Callithrix jacchus: one gene and its partners. The protein of the gene in region 1 purifies or fractionates together with the protein of each later gene. This does not show direct contact. Links are inferred from orthologs where the notes say so. Each region holds a gene or a part of one and is shown on either strand. Other genes may lie near its edges.

Evidence for each region. Proteins that work in one complex are often made in the same cells at the same time.
Region 2: the proteins of PTGES3 (region 1) and FKBP4 purify together in Homo sapiens (affinity purification with mass spectrometry; 3 studies listed by BioGRID and IntAct, with this or other methods). This does not show direct contact. The link is inferred for Callithrix jacchus from reciprocal best matches to the Homo sapiens genes PTGES3 and FKBP4.
Region 3: the proteins of PTGES3 (region 1) and SMYD2 purify together in Homo sapiens (affinity purification with mass spectrometry; 3 studies listed by BioGRID and IntAct, with this or other methods). This does not show direct contact. The link is inferred for Callithrix jacchus from reciprocal best matches to the Homo sapiens genes PTGES3 and SMYD2.

The regions. Positions count from the first base shown.
Region 1 is NC_133510.1:62,968,871-62,972,961, forward strand, and holds the start of PTGES3 (prostaglandin E synthase 3), read left to right. Parts: upstream 1-1,255; 5' UTR 1,256-1,550; coding exon of another isoform or gene 1,551-1,552; 5' UTR 1,553-2,281; coding exon 2,282-2,295; intron 2,296-4,091. UniProt on the Homo sapiens protein: Cytosolic prostaglandin synthase that catalyzes the oxidoreduction of prostaglandin endoperoxide H2 (PGH2) to prostaglandin E2 (PGE2).
Region 2 is NC_133510.1:16,117,012-16,120,592, reverse strand, and holds the end of FKBP4 (peptidyl-prolyl cis-trans isomerase FKBP4), read right to left. Parts: intron 1,211-3,581; coding exon 1,103-1,210; 3' UTR 413-1,102; downstream 1-412. UniProt on the Homo sapiens protein: Immunophilin protein with PPIase and co-chaperone activities. Component of steroid receptors heterocomplexes through interaction with heat-shock protein 90 (HSP90).
Region 3 is NC_133520.1:14,837,030-14,840,610, reverse strand, and holds part of SMYD2 (N-lysine methyltransferase SMYD2), read left to right. Parts: intron 1-1,570; exon of another isoform or gene 1,571-1,786; coding exon 1,787-1,889; exon of another isoform or gene 1,890-3,581. UniProt on the Homo sapiens protein: Protein-lysine N-methyltransferase that methylates both histones and non-histone proteins, including p53/TP53 and RB1. Specifically trimethylates histone H3 'Lys-4' (H3K4me3) in vivo. The activity requires interaction with HSP90alpha.

The sequences.
Region 1 (4,091 bases):
GCTTCGTTTTGAGACAGGCTTTCACTCTGTCGCCCAGGTTGGAGTACAATGGCATGATCTGTGCTCACTGCAGCCTCCGCCTCCCGGGTTCGAGCTATCCTCCCACCTCATACTCCCTAGTTTTTGGCATTACAAGCGCATGCCACCATGCCTGGCTAATTAGTATTTTTGTAGAGATGGGGTTTCACTATGTTGGTCAGGCTGGTCTCGAACTCGTGACCTAGGGAACCACCCTCCTTGGCTTCGCAAAGTGCTGGGATTATAGGCGTGAGCCACTGCACCAGCCCAATTTCCCTCTTTAACGGTATCTGAGCTAGGATCCACGTTTCGTAGCTCCCCAATAATCTGCCTTGTACAGCAGACACTAAGCACCTTAATGCTTATTATGAAACCTCATTCTTCAGAAATATAGCACTTTCCTTAAACCTCCTTCCTGTTCAAAATGCAGTGCACTGGAGTATTTCTCCCCTACTCCACCATTAAGTAGCCTCTTGGTGAGCAGGGCTGTGTTGGGTCTCTCGGTTACTATGCCCTACTACACCCTAGTAGTGTGTTGTAGGAAGCGACGGGGAATCCCTTCTTCCCCAAATAATGTGCATGGAGACACAAAGTGTCTTAGCCTCTCCATTCCAGAAACCTAGACTCTCCCCTCAAATATCCTTCGTGGCTCATCTACAGTACTAAGGTCTCAAGACAGGGGCAAAAGCCAGCCCCGAATGGCAAACGCTCCTCCTCCGCCAAGAACCTCGAATGTCCGCTGTCCCTGGACAGAGCCTCCAACCTTCAGAAAAATGGTGAAGTGAGCCCTTTTCCACAGCACAGGCTTTTCACGTTTTTGTGGTGGAATGTTTCCTGCGTGAGCTGATTTACTCCCTCAAGAGTAACCAACGCTCCATTTCAATTCTCCACGATCCCGACTCCGCGTCCCTCCGCCTCGGCCTTTCCTCCCGCTGCCAACGCAGCGGTTTCTCAGAGAAATCGCCCAAAGAGCGTGGCCGGGCGGTTGGGCGGCCAACGGTTTTCTAACGCGAGAGGACACCGCGGGAGGAGAGGCGGGAACGCGTAAGGACTAGCGGGGGCCGGGGTGGGGGTAGGGTGGCGGACGAAGGGCGGGGCCGGCGCCAGGAAGGATCGCGAAGGAGCTGGGAGGCCCCGCCCTTTCCGTAGATATCTCTAGAAAGCCGCGCCGGAGCCCGAAAACAAGGACTGCGCACGCGCGGTGGCAAGGCCCGGGCATTTTGCTGCGTCACCAGCCGCCGCCCGGCCTCACCACCCCTCGTTCGCACGCACGCACGTTCATTCTCCGTCCTCGCGCCCGTTTTCCTACACTTTCCTCTTCTCCCCGACCGGAGGAGCCGCTCTTTCCGCGCGGTGCATTCTGGGGAGCTAGGTCGAGCCCGCCGCTGTCGCCGTCGCCTGAGGGAAGCGAGAAGAGGCCGCGACCGGGGAGAAAACGCGGAGTCGCCAGCGGAGAGAAGTCGACTCCTTAGCAGCAGCCGCCGCCAGAGAGGCCCGCCCACCCGTTCGCCCGTCCCCCTGCCCCGTTCACAATGTGAGTGCGACACCCCGCCGAGGGAAGGTCGCCCGGAGTGAGGCCAAGGCCGCGTCGGGGGCTCCGGGAATGCGGCCGCGGCCCTCCCTCCACTTTCGGCCCCCCCAGTCTTTCTCGCATCGGTGGTGGCAGTTGTGCCTGCCTGGGGGCGGGAGATCTAGTATCCTTGTTCCGGTTACCGTTGGCGAGTGGAGGACATTTTCCTCCAGATCTCCGCTTCCCCGTGCCGGAAATGCTACTTTTCCCCCTTTGGCCGTCTGGCCGACTCGCTTTCTGTAACTTCACCCTAGGCCTTGAGCTCCTGGTAGCTGCTCGCCATGCGGCGCCCTGAAGCGTGAACCCCCGCGGGTCGCTTCTCGGCCGCCTGGGCGCTCCAGTTCTGCTCCGTGGTCCCGGGGCCAGGCCCTGGGCCGAGCGCACCTGTAGTGGGTGTCGCCAGGTACCTGGCGGAGCTCCTGGGAGAGCCCCACGCGGACCTCGCCGTGAGCTGCATGGTACTGCTAGGTAACTGGAGGGAAGCCATGCCCACGCCGCAACTTACTTCCCTCTCCTGTGTCTGGGTTTCTTGAGTGTGGGTACTTCTAGGCCGCCTCCTAACTCCCAGTCTGTTCAAAACACGGGAGGTTGCCGGAGCTCAGCCGCTTCCCTGGCAGTGAGGAGTTACCGTTGAGCAGGTAGTTGGGCACGTGTCGACTTTGGAAGAATACCTACGGACATTTTCAGTGTTCCATGTTAAACTTTAGGTGAGGTTTCACTATCCTGCCTCAGTGTAGGATGAAGTAGATATGTAATTAACTTACTGTTGTCCTAAAAAGCTTAAATTTGATGGTGTGTAGGTGAATACAAGTTCTATAGCAATCTTCGTTTTATGGTAAAGGAAAGCCTTAATTGATTTTAACCGAATAAGAATTCATGGCACTGCCACATCCAGTGAGGGCTCCTGGTTTTACAGGGTTTGGTTTTGTTTTTTTTTTTTGACGGGACGTTATTTTTTAAGTTATTAGCTAAGTCTTAAAAGATACTGAGAACAATTGAAGGGGAGCGTTCCCCCGCCCACACTCCATTTAGGAGAGATGAGGGGAGTAACTTTATTCCTGCGGAAAAGTAACAAACATTCAAGGGTTTACTTAATTCAAGCCATGATACTGACAGTGAATATATTGGCTAAAAGTCTAAAGGGATGAGTGAGGGGTACACTGAAGCCAGTTTGTCGCTGAGAACAAGCTTCTAGAGCACAGCGTGTATTACTGTAAGGGCGTAAATTAGAATTTTGGAGGAGCCCCCTCCCTGAAAGTGGTACGTAAACGGGGTTTTTACAAATTCGAATCTATGTAAAGTAGTTTTTGCTTTTCCTTCTAGGTAATGTAAAAGGGACTTCAGTCTTAACCTTTTATACTCTGAAAACCTGTAAGGGGAAAATTGTCAGATGAGGTGTTAGCAACTTTTAATACAGCTGAACGTATCTTTTCGCGAAAAATACGTTTAAAATTGGCTTGAGGTAGGAGCACTTTCTGGAGGCCACGTAAGATATTTAAATAGGTAAGAAATGGCTAAGTTAAGTAGATTTTAAAACTTGAAAGAAAAGTCAATGTAAGTCAGGGTGCAGTGGCTCACACCTGTCCTGCACTTTGGGAGGGTCAGGCGGTGGGATCAGGAGTTCGAGACCAGCCTCGTCAATACTGTGAAACCCCGTCTCTACTAAAAATACAAAAACTAGTCGGGCATGGTGGTGCTCACCTGTAATCCCGGCTGGTCTGGCGGCTCAGGCAGGAGAATCGCCTTAACTCTGGAGGTGGAGGTTGCAGTGAGCCAAGATTATTGAGCCATTGCACTCCATCCTGGACGATAGAGGGAGACTCCGTCTCAAAATGTAGCAGTAGAGAGGCTATTCCAAAAAGTAGCCTCTCTGGTTAAAAAAAAAAAAAAAAAGCTACTTTCAAAACAAGTGATCCGATGCCACATGCAGGGTGTTGAGGGAAAAGATGAATGTTTTGAAAGAGACCAGCTAATTTCATCCTTTTAAAAATATTCAGTATGTGTCATTTGGTATATTCTTCAGGGACTCTTACCAAGTTAAAGATTTAAGTGAAATTACAAAATGAATGTTGTAAGTCGGTTGTTTGAGGTGGAAGAATCCTTTACTGGGTCGTCATCCAGTCCTAGGAAGAATCTGGCTGATGCGGGTTTATTTATTTATTTATTTATTTTGAGTCAGGGTCTTTCTCTATCGCCCAGCCTAGAGTGCAGTGGCGTGATCTCAGCTCACAGCAACCTCCACTTCACCTCCCGAGCTCAAGCAATCCTCCTTGCCTCAGTCTCCTGAGTAGCTAGGACTGCAGGCAAGCACCACCATGCCTGGCTAATAAAACCTTTTTTTTTTCTTTAAAGATCTGGAGAGAGATTATGCTGGGTGCATTAAGGGCTTGGGAGAGTGTTTTCTCAGTTGATTTACTCATTTGCTCTTTAGCGATTTCCTAGTTACATTTCTTTACATCCTAAGTTATGAAAGTTTGTCTTGTAGTTTAAAAAAGCTCTTAAG
Region 2 (3,581 bases), about 47 Mb from region 1:
CATCAGAGGTAGGCAGAAGACCAATGCTAACTTCAAAACGAACATGCATGTGACCCAGTCTTCTAGATGTTTAGACTTTCCTCTTCCTAAGTGGCAGGGAAAACCAGACGCACTAAAAACTACCAGGTTGCTGGAGGGGAGTGCTGGGAACCTAGGGTGAGGGTGTAGGCCTAAGTCTCACTGCAGCCTGTGCGGTGCTCGGGAAGCCCTGCGTCGTAGGTCTGCAGCCTGTGCGGTGCTCGGGAAGCCCTGCATGGTAGGTCTGCTTCCTGCCCACTATGGCATCATTATATGAGATACTGCATTTATTTAAGCTGAACTGGGATCAAGTGGGTGACCCCTTAATTTTGCCACTACCCATTATGTACCCACCCCTCCAAGGCTGAACAGAAAGGGTTGCCTGACACCCAGGTTTTATTGTTTCCACTTTATTGCTCAAGCACGGAACTTGAGGCAAGCCTGGACCTTCAGCAACGTGCAGAGAAGAGGCTGAGGGGATTTCAGGATACAACCTGGCTGAGAGGGGTGATTGACAAGGGGAAACACCAGAATGGGGGACGGGGGTGGTCACCATGACACCAGAAGACATCAGCCACACCGTCAGGGTGAGGAAGGGAACAGAGAGAAGAAATGGGCACAGCAGTGGTTTTTCCCATGTCCCTAGCACCCACATGGAGGCCACATTTGGAAATGGACTGGGAGAGGGAAAGGATGAGGAAAACGGCTGCCCAGGAGTCTCCCTTTCCACCCTGGGTTCATATCAGACCCCATCCCTACCACTTGCTTCTTCTACCCTTGGAAAATGGACCTAACAGAGGGAGCAAAATAAATTAACATTCTGATGAATATGTATGGATGGACATACATTCATGTGCAATGGGGGAAGGGAAGAGGGGGTGACACCTCCTGAAATGATTCCCCACCTCAATCCCCCAGACTCTTCTTTCCCCCCTCCCCGCTAAAGCCACCATCCAACCAGATAGAAAAATAAAGGTCTAATTCACTCAAAATTCTTCAGTTTTTACAAAACTAACAGGGTGGAGTGGGGAGACTGGGGTTGTGGGAGGCAGGCAGCCGCAGGAGTAGAGCTGGTGGAGGAGGGCTATGCTTCTGTCTCCACCTGAGACTGGCTCCCTGCCATGTTGCTCTTCTGCTCCTCCTTCATGTCTGTGTCAGTGGGACGGTCTCCTGAGGAAGCCTCTGCCTTGGCCTGGAAGGAAGAGGAACAGCAAAGAGCCTCACTTCCCAAGTGAAAAAATAACACACTTAATTTCTAGCAGAATTACAGACACACCAATTCTCCTGCATCTGCCCTAAAGATATACCTGTATAAGCCAGGCGTGGTGGCTTGCACCTGTAATCCCAGCACTTGGGGAGGGTGAGGTGGACAGACTACTTGAGCACAGAAGTTTGAGACCAGCCTGGACAACATGGTGAAACCTCATCTTGACAAAAATTATAAAAATTAGCTGGGCATGGTGGTGTGCACCTGTAGTCCCAGCTACTTGGGAGGCTGAGGCAAGAGGATCACTTGAGCCAGGGAGGCAGAGGTTGCAGTGAGCTGAGTGTACCACTGCACTCCAGCCTGGGTGACAGGGTGAGAGACACTGTCTCAAAAAAACACAAAACACTTGTATATGTACAAATTATGAACTCACAAGGTCATTCACTACAGTGCTGTTTAGAACAGCACTGTCCCATGTGGTAGCCACTACTGTAAGTGGCTAGTTCAAACTCATGTGTTTTTAGTGAAAAATATATATTGGATTTTGAAGATGGTCTGAAAAATATATAAATGCAACTAAAACTTAATTCCATCTGTTTTTCACCTTTTTAACGTGGTTACCAGAAAATTTTCAATTATGTGTGGTTAATACTGTGTTTCTACTGTACAGTGCTTGTTTAGAACCCTCTTTAAGACTGTCTGGGTGGCTGGGTGCAATGGTTTACGCCTGTAATCCCAGCACTTTGCGAGGCCAGGGTGGGCGGATCACAAGGTCAAAAGGTCGAGACCATCCTGGCCAACATGGTGAAATATGCGTCTACTAAAAATACAAAAAAAATTAGACAGGTGTTGTGGTGTGTGCCTGTAGTCCCAGCTACTCGGGAGGCTGAGGCAGGAGAATTGCCTGAAACCGGAAAACGGAAGTTGCCGTGAGCTGGGATCCCACCACTGCACTCCAGCCTGGCGAGAGAGGGAGACTGTGTTTCAAACAAACAAAAAGACTGCCCAGGCATGGCGGTTCACACCTGTAGTCCCACTACTTTGGGAGGCAGGGCCAGGCAGATCACTAAAGTCAGGAGTTCGAGACCAGCCTTATCTACATAGTGAAACCTCTTCTCTACTAAAAATACAAAATTCACTGGGTGTGGTGGCGTGCCTGTAATCCCAGTTACTCACGAGGCTGTGGCAGAGAATTGCTTGAACTCAGGAGGCAGAATCTGTAGTGAGCTGAGATCGCGTCACTGCACTTCCACCTGGGTGACGGAGCAAAACTCTGTCTTAGAAAAAAAAAAAAAAAGGGCCGGGCGCGGTGGCTCAAGCCTGTAATCCCAGCACTTTGGGAGGCTGAGGCGGGTGGATCAAGAGGTCAAGAGATCAAGACCATCTATCTGGTCAACATGGTGAAACCCCATCTCTACTAAAATATAAAAAATTAGCTGGGCATGGTGGCGTGTGCCTGTAATCCCAGTTAATCGGGAGGCTGAGGCAGGAGAATTGCCTGAACCCAGGAGGCGGAGATTGCAGTGAGCCGAGATCGCGCCATTGCACTCCAGCCTGGGTAACAAGAACAAAACTCCATCTTCAAAAAAAAAAAAAAAAAACACTGGAAGACTAAAAGGGCACTGATTAAATAAGATATGCCATATCCATACAATGGAATACTACTTAAGCCTAAGAATGTGAAAGCTCTTTAAATACTGATGTAAATAAGCTTCCAGATATATATATTTTTTATTTTTATTTTTTCAAGACGGGGTTTCACTATATTGGTCAGGCTAGTCTCAAACTCCTAACCTCAGCCTCCCAAAGTGCTGGGATTACAGGCGTGAGCCACCGTGCCTGGTGCTTCCAGATATTATTGTGAGAAAAAAGCACAGCCTGCCAAATCACAGGTAGAGCATGTTGCCTCTTGTTAGGGGAAAGGGAGAAAGCAACATGAATATTTGCCTGGGTATTAAGCAATACATTGGAACCATACAAGAACCAGAAGGGCTTCTGGCTGGGGAGGCAGACTTCTTACTGTGCATTCTTTGGTACAGTTTGAATTTAACTATGTAAATGTATTATCTATTTCAATACACACACAAAGCATCTAGCTCTTTTTTTCTTTTGAGACAGGGTGTCATTTTGTCACTCAGGCTGGAGTGCAGTGGTGCCATCGTTAAGTCACCAAGGTCTCTACCTACTGGGTTCAAGTAATCCTCCCACTTTGTCCCCGCAAAGTATTGGGAATGCAGGTATGAGCCACTGCACCTGGCCGACAAGAAAACATAAATCAGAGCAACCAACCCAGCTTCTAGGGCTTGTGGGTAGGTTTCCAGCACTGATCACAAAACGCTGGCCCCAATAGCAGGGA
Region 3 (3,581 bases), on another chromosome or scaffold:
AAGAGGGTATTGGACTCACTGAAGAAGGTGTGTATTGACACCTTTAAAACTGAAATGAACTATGGAACATCTCTGTTCTCAATATCTTAAAGACCAAAAGATTAAGAGTGAGGTGCTCCCAGGCACAGTGGTTCACGCCTCTAATCTCAGCACTTTGGCAGGCCAAGGCGGGTGGATCACGAAGTCAGGAGTTCAAGACCAGCCTGACCAACATGGTGAAACCCTGTCTCTACTAAGTAAAGTACAAAGATTAGCTGGGCATGATGGCATGCACCTGTAATCCCAGCTACTCAGGAGGCTGAGACAGGAGAATCGCTTGAACCCAGGAGGCAGAGGTTGCAGTGAGCCGAGCAATGAACCGAGATCACACCACTGCACTCCAACCTGGGCTCTCCATAAAAAAAAAAAAAAAAAATGAAGTACTTTGAGGATTCACACCTTTCAGTGGTTGCCAGGAGAATTGTGATACCTGGAATATGAGTTGTTTCAGGGTCTTTGCCTTCATACATTTCCCCCGCCTTCATTCATTTCCCCCGCCTTCATTAAAAAGATACCAGGTCTGTCTTGAACTATTTAATAGTTCTGCAAGGTGGTTTTAGAAATGTGCTTTTATTTTAAAACAACTACTCGTTCGATGCATTTGTTTATCAGGTTTTCTAGAGCCGGATTCCTTGGGCATCACCTTCCAGGAAGCCAGGTGGGCCTTGGTGTAGAGCAGAGGTGGCTCTCCCCAAGGTCAGGACCAGGAAGGTGCTACATGTTTGTCCCAGGCACCAGGCCAACCACACACTTTGCTTAGGCCTTTAGCAACCGGAGGTGGGGGAGTGCACTTGGCCATGGCCAGCCTGGGGCAGCTCAACCTCATCAGGCTTCGAAACCCCTTTCCCTTTCTGTATTCTCGGAGCAAGCAGGAGAGGGGGCTGTGTCTCTGAAGGGTCAGGGAGGTGACATTGGCCACCAGAGCAATGACACACATGGCTGTGAGTGCCCATAGGAGCATGAGCCCCAGTTTCTGGGCAGTTTTAATTGGGGGAAAAAAATCCCTTTGGGCTGAAATCATATCGGCATTGTGATTTCAAAGGCGGCATTTTCAGAGATCAAGCACTTTTTCCCTGTAGTTTAGAAATTTCTGTTCTCAGAACTTTGACCTTGATATAATCAGAAAGCTCAAAGCACCTCGCATAGCGAATCTCTCTCTCCTTCTCGCTGTCCCTGAAAAGCAGACAGTGAGCAGCAGGAGCAGTAATGTCCCAATTTTCCAGATGAGGAAATTGAGGTGCAGAGAAACTCAGATGGGTGTCTCCAGGTCTCTCGGGGGATCACACACCCTTCCCTCCTTAGGAAGCTGGCATTTCTCAACATCTGAAAAAAACATATGAGAAATAATCCACTAATACAAAAAGCTGCTTGAAAACGACAATGCCTCAGTCTTTGACAGTGTGTAGTGGAGTAGCAATTAGCTGTGGGTATTGGGTTCGGAGCGCCGCATTCTATTAGGAAGGAATATTTGTGGCATTTGTTGTTTTTGTTGTTGTGTGTTTTTTGGTTTTGGCTTAGATACTACATGAATTGTGAATTTCAGTTTTTAATATGGTGAAAGTCTTAGATGGTAGATAGGATTATCAATGCATGCAGAACAACTTCTTAGAATAGGATAGCCAACTAGCAGATTTTTTAACAATGTCTTGTAAAGATTCAGTTCCTTTGACTTAGCAAGTAAGTAGTCAAAGACTAAACAGCCTCCCCGTCTCATTTTAAAAACTGGGTTTTCTCTTCCGATTGACAGTGTTGCATTGATGAATCATAGCTGTTGCCCCAATGTCATTGTGACTTACAAAGGGACCCTGGCAGAAGTCAGAGCTGTACAGGAAATCAGCCCAGGAGAGGAGGTGAGTTCATGGCCATGGGTGGCCGCAGCAGGGGGCTGGAGACTGCTCTTTTAAAAGGCAATATGGACAGATCCATGCATTTGAAGTATGAGCTGTGAATGCTTCCAGCAGTTCAGCCAAGTCCGTCCTCAGGCTCCCCCTGAGTCAGTGATCAGATTTGTGACCTGTAGCTTAGATTCCCACACTTTGGGGCTTCTGTTTCGTGTTTACCTTTTACATCAGTGGTTAAGAAAAACAAAAAATAATCAATTTGAGTTAAATTCCTCACAAAGCTTTATGGAGAGTTACAGAGAAAGAAGACTTTGACTATCAAAATGACCACAGTGAAACTTGATTTTCTTTAGAGTCTCTCTAACCCTGTTGCCAAACAATGGAGTTTGAGCCTTATTAATTTTTGGTGAATTCTTGCTTGTTGCCCACCATCCCCCCAAGGTCCGAAGTGAAAGAAAGCAAGTGACACAGCAGTAGCTAAAGAACTGGCCCTGCAAGTGACACAGCAGCATTTTGTGCTCTGTCAGTTCCACATGTGAACTTCAGGTCGTAGTTCCCTTTTTAGGAACGTGATTCAAATGCCCAGGTATATATGCAGTCATGTGCTCTGTCAGTTCCACATGTGAACTTCGGGTCGTAGTTCCCTTTTTAGGAACGTGATTCAAATGCCCAGGTATACATGCAGTCATAGGAGAAATCAAGGCAGTCTGTGAGGCACACTGGCTTCCCTCCTCAGCTTTGGGATGTGGAGAGAACCAGCCAGCTGTCCCGTCACCTGCTCAACGATTCCCTGTCCCCCTCCCATGTGTGATTCCTGACTACCTCATGGGACATCTCACCTGGGGGAGGAGGGCTGGCCTGCTGGATCGCTGTAGTATGCTCTGTTCTTAAGTCAGTCTCCAGCAAGACAGGATTTCTTGGGCACTTGTAATCACACACTTAGGTTAAATTTCAGTTTAGCAATTTGTAATGCTATTTTACGGTGCACATCTGGTATAAGTGTGAAGTGTGACTGTCAGTGTGCTGAGTGAGAAGTGCTTTGCTTTCTCTGGAAGGCGCTCACTCATCCACAGGGGTACTGGGAGCTGAGGCCCAAGGCGCAGGTTGGCCCTTCCACCCTCAGCTAAATCCATTGTCATGAGGGTGTGTCCCTTTCGGCTGGGGTGTCTTGAGTTTCTGAATGTCTTGTGGAGACTGCCCTGAAGGCTTTCTTGAAACAGATCGTTGCAACCAGCCAGAACGTAATCACCCGGCTCCAGCCCGCCTGTGGACTGACTGCAGAGATGAGCAGGTTGTCACCTAGGCTGGCTCAGTCTGACCGTGAGCAGTGGTACTGGAGTGGCCTTTGTCGCCATCTTCTGGAACCTTCCGTGTGTTGCACTGCGTGTCAGTTATTTCAGAGATAATGGGGCACTCTTGCCGTGTGAGGCAGGGCAGGGCTGGCTGCGGTTTCCTTTTGCCCTCATGTTCTCCCAGATCTCAAACACAGTGACTTCATTTTTGTGAAGTCAGTGCTTTGGGGGTTACTTACCCTTAAGAGGAGAAACTCCATTCTCCAGGGTTTCAGGGAGACCTGCAACATGTCCAGAACTGCCCTGTGGGCTGGGGAGAGCTTGGCTGCCCCTGCGGCACCCAGCCCCATGCGTGTCCTCCCCTGCCTGCTTGGCGGTGCCCGCGGTCACTGGCACGCTGGCAGCTTTG